Linked DNA regions of Solanum lycopersicum. The protein of the gene in region 1 interacts with the protein of each later gene in a pairwise test. Links are inferred from orthologs where the notes say so. Each region holds a gene or a part of one and is shown on either strand. Other genes may lie near its edges. The genes, in order: B3 domain-containing transcription repressor VAL2, uncharacterized protein and peroxisomal targeting signal type 2 receptor.

Region 1 (3,665 bases):
TTAATTATGTGATCGGTAAATGAAATTTAGTTTAGCACAACTACAGGCTTACAAATAATGAAGGCATTACATAAGTATATTAAATCAAGAGTTCGTGAATTTTAGGACGTTATCATATAAGAACCAGCTGGTGCATGACCGAAATATACACTAAAACTAAAGCAACAAGTTACTTCACCCTTGTCCATTTTGAAAAGATTTTCAAGCTCTCTGGGTGTTAAATCGTCTGGGATGGAACAAGAGGACCTGAGAACATGAGCATGATTAGTCTAATTTTAAGTCGCATAAGTGCTGTTGAGCAAAATTCCTTGAATTGCGGTGTCCTGACCTGCTATGATCTGAAATGTTGTCCTGACATGTCCAATGAGGAGGTAGAAGATAATCAGCTGGCAACTTTCGCCACTTAAAGCAATTATCACATTGAGCCCACTGCTCCTGCTCCCTGGGATCAGTGATATACCAGTAAAACTTCCAATTTGAGCAGTCTAAGGAATATCAAATGTCAATGATGGACATGAAAAAGAATCTTTAGAAAAGAAAATATATGTTTTGTAAGAGTATTTGTTGCAGTTGAATATGTGGAACAAATTACAGTCTACAGTTCAAACTTCAACAGTGAATTGGTGATGTCATCCTATTTGGTGCCTCTTGTGTCTATGCCCGCTCCGATATCTTCCCATTATTTTGTCATCTCCTATCTCTTTTCTGTTTTCTTAACCATTGGAGAAATAAACAGGTCAAAGAATGCCAAGGGAAGAGACAGCACCACTATATCTATCAGCTTCCAAAATTAATGTCTGAATAAAAGAAATATTTGGAATATGACGGGAGAAAGGAGTCTCTCAGAGGAAACAGCCACTGTACAGAGAGCTATGTCTTAGGACCAAACTTTTTGGAAAGAGGAAAGCTCTTCTTGTAGCAGCAGAATGAGTTAGAATTTACCTATTTTAGGGACATTCTTCACATTTTCATGCTGACCAAACCAGTTAGTAACATAATATTGTTTCCTATCAGCCATCTAACTAGGTCGCCGCGTGCGTCTCAGATCGTCCAAAAGCTAAGCTTTTTTGGAGGATTTGACACGGTTGTGGTAGCTGTTTTGGAGTCTAAGCAACATAGGCCCTCGACTCCTTGTTAGTGAAAATATTCAGAAAAGGTAACTTATGACGGTCTGTTATTGCTGATGTCCTTTCTCATAATTTTTTAAGCAACATGTTGGAGTAGTGGAATACATTCTGATAAGATATTCTTTCTTACCCAGATAAGCGGACAGTAAATATACTCCTCTTCCCAAGAACAGGTGGTTGCTGCATTTTGAAGAACAAAGTTACAAACCAAAGCCAGAGTTTTTTAGCGGAATGATTAAATCTTAACAGCAATTCTCGTCGATTAAGATAATGTGAAATTCATCTAGTTCAACCACAAAGCATGAGCAGCACAGATTATTTCAAAGATAAAGCTACATACTTCGTATTCTTCAAATTCTTGGTCCTCTATGGTGACAGTGGTTGGCTGAACACTCAGTGGTGGTCGGAGCATATCCTGTAACTCCTCCCATGAAAGCTTCAACTCCAAAGCATCGTGGGCATCAATGAGCAGTCTCTTACTTTTTGACCCAATATTACGACTTCTTTTACGCTCTGATACAGGCATTGAAGGGGAGAAGGCACCATCTGCATTCCTGCCTCCGTTCTTCTCCGTTAAGTACCAGCTAAAATCACCACTATTGAAATGCTTCGAGGATAAATTCACAGAAGACTCCCTGCTTCCTTTAAATGATTGAAGAAGGCCAGAATAACCACTCATCAAAGGTAGATTCTCAGGCATTGCTGAGAAGGAGGTGGGTTCAGTAGAGAAAACATTCTTGGGTATGGCTGACAGACGATTTTCCTGTTTAGGCAATATAATCAATATTATATCCCATAAGCCACTAAAGTGAACTCAAGACGAAGCCCCTATGTGGAATAGTTACCTGAGTTATTTTAACAGTTGATGCTTTACGAAACCCCATTAAAAGCTTTCCTTCTGGATCCATGCGGCTGAAAGTCACTGCAATGAAATGTTCTATAGGATGAGAAATGAGTAGTAAAATCTTAAGTCTGAATAGAGAGCACAAAAACGAACAATGAACAAAAACATGTAATTAAATGTTCTTATAGGATGAGAAATGAGTAGTAGAATCCTAAGTCTGAATAGAGAGCACAAAAACGAACAAGGAACAAAAACATAAAATGACAGGTACTAAAGAAATAGCCCTTGTGCCTAACTCAACTCCAAAAGCTAGCTCAAGAGGTGAGCGTTGCCCAAGATCGTTTAAATAGTCTAAATTCCCTTTCCATTGCCGATGTGGGACTCTCCACAACACGAAAATTTTGGAATTCATTCACTAGGGAAAAACACGTGTTTCTCTCGCTTTCTATCCATTTCTTGAGCATGTGGAGCTTATCAGGAGCTGGACAGACTCACGAGCAAGATCAATGCAAGAATATGAGCACATAAGTCAGATGGACCTTGCGCCTAACTAAACCCCAAAAGCTAGCTCAAGAGGTGAGGATTGCCCAAGATCATTTAAAGAGTCTAAATTCCCTTTTCCATTGCCGATGTGGGACTCTCCACAACACGAAATTTTGGAATTCATTCACTAGAGAAAAACATGAGTTTCTCCCGCTTTCTATCCATTTCTTGAGCATGTGGAGCTTATCAGGAGCTGGACCAACTCATGAGCAAGATCAATGCAAGAATATGAGCACAGAAGTCAGCAAGACTACAGAGGTGAAACTCATGTTCTGTTTTATTATCTTGATTTTAGAATACAAAAATAATTTTTGTTAGTAGTTGAAGGACTCTATAAATATATTGAATCATTGAGCCAGTACACCAGACATTTTCAGTAAAAACCTAAAAAAAAAACAAATTCTTTCATATTAGATACCTAGAAGAAGATGGGAAAAAATATTCCATACGATATTTGCATCTTCACTCTATTCACTTCCTGGCATAACGTTCTTATATTCAAACCTGTTAGGAACCAGACTATGTTAATACTATAAGTACTCAATGCGACTATCCTCCCTCTGATAGTGTATGAATAGGAAAATAGTTGGTTGTTACAAGAAGTAAATATAATTAAGGATCATCCTGTCAGACCAACTTAAAAGTTACAGTAGTTAACAATGAACTCGTTGTTTTATAGCTAATAATACTAAACTTGGAAAAGTGAAAGAAGTATTGGCCCTATTACTGTCATTCTAATTCCAGAATAGCTGACTGGCTTTAACAAAGACTGATAGGCAAAGGCTTGTATTTGGAGTGTCAAAAATTCAAATCTCATAAATACTATGTCTAACCTGACCCCCTTTATCTCAAATAGAGGTGGATAATGAGTATTGACCTGCCAGCATCATTGCTTCAATGTTGAGTTAAAGCAAAGAACTAGGGGTAGCAAAATTGACCCAATTATTTAAAACCTGCCCAAAACTTATCAGGTTGGGCAAGAGATATTTCCGTGTCCGGAGCCAAAAGGATAATTAAGCCCAATAGTATACTTTTAAAAAACAATCAATTACTATCAACTAAACAAAATTCTTTTTTAAATAAAAACCGCCGCAAGGCGCATGGAATTCCGCGCCTTGCGGCGGCTTCCCTGATCTAAACGTCGTCAAATT
Region 2 (2,734 bases), on another chromosome or scaffold:
GAATACTTACAAAAATATATAATAACCAACGTAAGATTTAACAAATAAATGTTGATAATTCCACCATTTCTCCCACAAAAAACTAGTTGATTTAAAAGATTTCCAGCAACACAAGGCAACCCAAATACTTAACAAATCTAAATTACTAAATATTACATGACCCACTAATTAAAGTTTTACGACTCCGCTTCTTCCGATCACATTTGAATCAACATGTGATATTGTTTCGTTAAGAAGTTCATCTTCATCTATAATTCACCATACAAGATATTGCAAAATTTTGTTTTTTTTTTCTTCAAAATATTTATTTATCAAATCTTGACAAATAAAACACTACTAAAAATATATATTAAAATATTTTCAAAAATTAATAGCCCGCGGGCTGACCTATGTGGCTTGCGAGCTGGACTTATGAGGCAAAGGGGCCAAACGGGGCGGGCTTAAAAGCCTCATTCCTAAATCGGCCAAAAAAAATTAAGCCCAACCCCACTTATTTCAAGGGTTGGGCTGGCCTCGCGGGCCAAGCCCATTTTGACGTCTCTAGCCATTTATGAGTGCAAATACTAGAATGATAATACTAGTATTACATTGAATTTGATGTAAAAGAATACAGAGGTTTCTGCAGAACTAGTGTGAGTATTATTGTGAGGATGGACAAGCAGACACCACGACGATGAATCCAGTATATCGCCCGGAATATTACCAGTGAAACAAGTAAATAAGTAATCAAAATGGTTCCTATAAGTATAATCATCCCACAAAATCTGTTGACTCGTGTGTTTGTTAGACATGAACCATAAAATCTTTTATCTATGGTAGAAAAAGTTCTAATGTGGTTTCGGTTTATAACCATCAACAGCAAAGTTTCTTGTAGCAACAGGGAGAGCTAATCGAATGCCATCAAGTTCAGGTTTTGCAATTACCTGACAACCTAGACGTGACCTGAAGACGATGAATGTATGAGAATGAGAAGATTCATAGATCATGGGAACTGCTAAATAGTAGAAAGCAAGAGACTTACGTATCGGTGAGAGCAAAAGCAAGATCCAACATATCATTTTCTTCATCTGTTGGATCTTCTAGCTTGTTGTAATACTCCATATCCTGTGAAACGCCACAAGAATAGATAAGAAATACAGCGTATTTATTAGATCAAAACAAGCAAGATGGTATTGAGTAGCTCAGTAGCTCCCAGCCAGGCGGAAAAAAGAAGCCAATGACATTATCCCGATCACAATTACTTACCATAACAATCACATGACATGTGGAACAGGCAAGCGAAGCTTCACATGCTCCTGCATCAAAGGCCATACAGTTTTAGTCAAGTTAAGCAAAGCATTTGGTTGTCGTGCTTAGAAATGTTAACACCACAAGAGTATCTAGAAGTGTTCTAACAACGTTTTTTTATTTATCTGACGGTGTCCTAAACCACAATAAGTAGGCATGCATGTGTCAATCATGTAATTTTGCCTAGATGTATGCATCTGTGGCTATGGAGTATCTAATACTGAAGTCGAAACTGGAAGAGTATCGTGAACATACAAACTTTCATTTAAGACGGTCTTAATAAAATCGTCCCATGTGCATATCTTCAACCACCATCTCTCCAGGAAACAGTAAAGATATGTTACAAACTTCCTCTCTTACCATCACCATCCCCGCTTCAGTAGTATCTCTAGTATGAAGACGGTGCCTTCTGGAACTCATAGAGCCCAACCATACCACTAACTTCGAAACAATTTTGGGAATTCCAACACATTATGTTCGAATATGTAAGGGAACACTACGTTCTTTTCCATTGTTCTCTTGGAACTTCTTGGATAGGTAGGACTGCAAGATGATGTTAGATGAAAATTCTAACATATCCAATAAATGCCTCCCAACTGACTGGAACTAGTACCAAGATTCACTAAATCGCCTTATCATAATTAAAATATCAGCAAACTTAAGTAGTTGACGATTTATAAGATCCGTTCAATATATATGAACCAAGACACCTCAACAAAGCTGACCTTCAAGTTCAATGTCATTTTCATGTGCAGCTTCTAACATAGACATTCCAACAGGGACCTTGATATGGTTCTCTTCACCATCCTTGTCAACAAAAGTTACAGATATTCTGCAAATCACAAAGAGACCATAGAAAAGTAAGTTTGTGGTAACTAAATCAGTGTGGCATAATCTCAGACATTCCATCAGCTAAATTGTAGAGGCTAACTATGATAAGCTAATGATGGATGAAATCAAGGAGATAGCACAAAGTTCAAAAATTACCATCATAATTCATATAGAAAAAGGTTATTAAATATCTGATACATAATCTATATGAGGAAGTGCAATAGATGTCAGACATAAGTTTAAGGAGGAAATGTTGGATTGTAACAAAAACTTCCCCTGGTGACTTCATGCATTGGACATAGAAAAGCAAATGAGATATTTGTCCAAAATTTTAGGTAGTTTTTAGAAAATAATAGATATAGATAAGTAGGAGTGAACGTGAATTAGTTTCATGATCCTAGAGCGGGAAAGAACAAATCTGATTTTTCGAGGATCAATTCTGATCCAGTTAGAATTAAATAAAAATACCGAACACATACCTAGCATCTCAATCTATAGAAGTTGATTTAGAGAAGGGCCTACTTTATAAATATTCTGTGAACTCTTCTTTCCGTCCATATAAACGCTCATGGCACCACTTACTGCTAGGTTGGAAAATTTCTATACTGCTAGGTTG
Region 3 (2,841 bases), on another chromosome or scaffold:
AAATGCACTGTAAAATAAAATACAGCCCCCATGACATGTTTACTGACATTAATTATCCCACAAGTAAGCAAGACATTTGAGAGAATTAACATGAAAATATGAATTACAAGAATGACTACTCTTAAGTGCTTGATCAGGAATGCATCCTCCACTGAAGTAAGGATGAAGGCATTTGTGTGAAAATGTCATTGCCCTGTTCTGTACGCTCTCTTATAGGATGACTCTAAGTGCTTGATCAGGGACGAATCTTCCACTGAAGTATGAATGCAGGCCTTTGAGTGAAAATGGCATTGCACATATTTGAAATGAAGTACCTGTTCTGTAAGCTCTCTTATAGGATCTCCGTTTGTTATTTTTTATAAACAGAACACGCTAAACCCCGATCAGAAGTATGTGCCTTCTTTTCAACCCTTACCCGACCCACTGCCCCTCGTAAAATTCTGAATAATGTTAAAGAAATTCAGGGAATTGACATTCCAAAAAAGCATACAGAACCCAAAGTGATTGACATATAGCGCATATTTTCTGAAACATCAAAGCTGTTTGGTGTAAATGTCATTTACCAAGGTTTTACCAAAATCTTAAATACAATGAAACTTCAAATTATTTTACAACTTCAACAGCAGACATCATAAATAGTTCCCATTCCATGTTTCCAAACATAAGCAGTTTATTCACTTCCTCTCTTAGCATTAAGTACATAAAAGTAAAAAGAAGAAAATGTTTGACTTCCCTTTGTCAAGAAGCTCTAGGGTCCATTCCATGTTGCCAAACATAAACAAGTTCATCCCATCCTGTACTAGCCAATAGACCTTCAACGAGAACGCTCATATCAACTCCTACAGCAAACTCTGTGTGATGATCATACCTCCCAATAAGTGCATCTTCCACCATGTAATCCCACATGCAAACTGTCATGTCATATGAACAAGAAACCATTGCACTCGCTCTATGTGGTGAAAACCTCACTTTCCTCACTGCATATCCATGCCCATTAAGCACTGATATTGGCACTCTATAATTCCTAACATCCCAAACCTTGATTGACTTATCAACGGATGCAGTTGCAATGATACAATCGTCATACTTACTCCAATCACATGTGAGGATTTCAAACTCGTGTGCAGGCAGAATCATTGTAGAACCTTCACAAATCATGAATTATACGTGTTAAAATGATAAATCATTAATCTCCTAAAAAACTAATCAAAACTTAGTCAAACCAGTTGAAATGAATCATTTTTCTTAGGTATGATCAGCCAAATACATGTATCCAAAGCTAACCTGGTTCGCGGACATCCCAGATGCGAGTAGTACAATCCCCAGAAGCAGATGCAAAGATATCAGCATGTCTTGGATTCCAAGCAGCGGAATAGACACAATAAGCATGTTCCTTAAAAGTCCTTACACTGGCATTTCTATCAACAGTCCATAGCTTCACAGTATCATCCCAAGACGCTGACAAGAAGGAATCTTTTCTCACGGTATTATAGTCAACAGAGTGAACTTCCCGTGTATGTTCCTTAAAAGAACGAATAGGGTTATTGGTGGGAGGCAAAGAAAGGTCATAGAGTTTCACAGAACCATCGCCACTTCCAGCAATAACAAGTGAATCGTGAGCTTCCGACCAGCAAACGTCGTAAACTCCATCAGCTGTGTCAAAAGCCGCAAGTTCCGATACCGGTCCGTTTGGATTGAGCTGAAGAATGTGAACTCTCCCGTTACCAAGGATGCCGAAATTCTGCGCAGTGGCCACAGCTAGTTTGTTTTCGTAGAAGGGACTGAATTTTACGGAGTAACCGTTAAATGGAGTTTTAAATACCGGCATCTTAGGCGGTCGGCGGACGGCGGACAGCGGTCGGCGCTGATTTGATTGTTGCCGGTGATTTACTTTCCCGATGTAAAAGGGGTTTTCCCCCAAAATCGTCCTGTATTTGAGATATAAGGGTTGTTTGGAAAATCAATCGAATTGATGTATTAATAGGGATAGCTTAGTAATTATATGCTAAAAGGATTTGAAATATGTTAATTTCAATAGAAATTATTCTAACAATTTAAAATTTTGAGAAAAATCTATTATCTTTGCATTATTTAATATATTTTCTCGGTCTTAAAAAGAATAATCTCATTTTATTAGTCTGTTTCAAAAAGAATAATTTTTTTTTTTGTAACATTTTAATTTCAATTTTCCACCTGACATGTTTAAGATCATAAGATCAAAAAGCAATTTTATACGTTTGACCTAATTTTAGTTTAGTACCACAAGATTCAAAATTCTTCTTTATATTATTAAATCCTTTGTCAAGCCAAACCAGATCATTCTTTGTGAAACGGAGGAAATAGTGTATTTAAAAGCATATATGTGATCATGTAGATAAGTTATACTATCTGTGATGATGCAATATTGATAATATCCACGTGGGCATATATATACCTTTAAAATACATTATTTATAGTGCAAAAGAGTAAAAAGTCCTGCCCAAATTGAAATTGTTATAACAATTTTGATCAAAAATTAAATATATTCAGACATTTTTCCCTAATTATATTGATTTGTTTGTTCATCATAGTGGAATTACACTGTACATCAATTGTTAGAATATACAACTGTTTTAGATAAAGAAGAAATTTCATAAATAATATCTAAATATTTAAGATACATTGTATTTTGAAGATATATTAGTTAAAATAAATATATGTTCTTAACTAATATTATGAAAATATAATTGTTTGTTATTATTCAAATTAGTATATTTTAATTGAATCACACAAAAATTAAAAGTGTGAGATTTTTATGAACATCATGAATATACATATTTGACAAAAGATTAATATTGTAAA

What was found.
Region 2: the proteins of B3 domain-containing transcription repressor VAL2 (region 1) and uncharacterized protein interact in binary tests that used the Arabidopsis thaliana proteins (3 or more experiments, as listed by UniProt). The link is inferred for Solanum lycopersicum from reciprocal best matches to the Arabidopsis thaliana genes HSL1 and MFDX1.
Region 3: the proteins of B3 domain-containing transcription repressor VAL2 (region 1) and peroxisomal targeting signal type 2 receptor interact in binary tests that used the Arabidopsis thaliana proteins (3 or more experiments, as listed by UniProt). The link is inferred for Solanum lycopersicum from reciprocal best matches to the Arabidopsis thaliana genes HSL1 and PEX7.

What each region holds. Positions count from the first base shown.
Region 1 is NC_090809.1:57,741,242-57,744,906, reverse strand, and holds part of B3 domain-containing transcription repressor VAL2, read right to left. Parts: intron 2,050-3,665; coding exon 1,973-2,049; intron 1,891-1,972; coding exon 1,468-1,890; intron 1,308-1,467; coding exon 1,258-1,307; intron 443-1,257; coding exon 329-442; intron 247-328; coding exon 179-246; intron 1-178. UniProt on the Arabidopsis thaliana protein: Transcriptional repressor of gene expression involved in embryonic pathways, such as LEC1, ABI3, and FUS3. Repressor of the sugar-inducible genes involved in the seed maturation program in seedlings.
Region 2 is NC_090800.1:2,918,602-2,921,335, forward strand, and holds the end of uncharacterized protein, read right to left. Parts: intron 2,120-2,734; coding exon 2,013-2,119; intron 1,296-2,012; coding exon 1,246-1,295; intron 1,105-1,245; coding exon 1,022-1,104; intron 946-1,021; coding exon of another isoform or gene 943-945; coding exon 828-942; 3' UTR 565-827; downstream 1-564. UniProt on the Arabidopsis thaliana protein: Associates in vitro with the adrenodoxin reductase MFDR to form an efficient low potential electron transfer chain that is able to reduce cytochrome C. Functions as accessory mitochondrial protein involved with BIO2 in the plant biotin synthase reaction.
Region 3 is NC_090802.1:30,672,633-30,675,473, reverse strand, and holds peroxisomal targeting signal type 2 receptor, read right to left. Parts: upstream 1,950-2,841; 5' UTR 1,829-1,949; coding exon 1,285-1,828; intron 1,146-1,284; coding exon 739-1,145; 3' UTR 541-738; downstream 1-540. UniProt on the Arabidopsis thaliana protein: Receptor required for the peroxisomal import of proteins containing a C-terminal PTS2-type peroxisomal targeting signal. Specifically binds to cargo proteins containing a PTS2 peroxisomal targeting signal in the cytosol.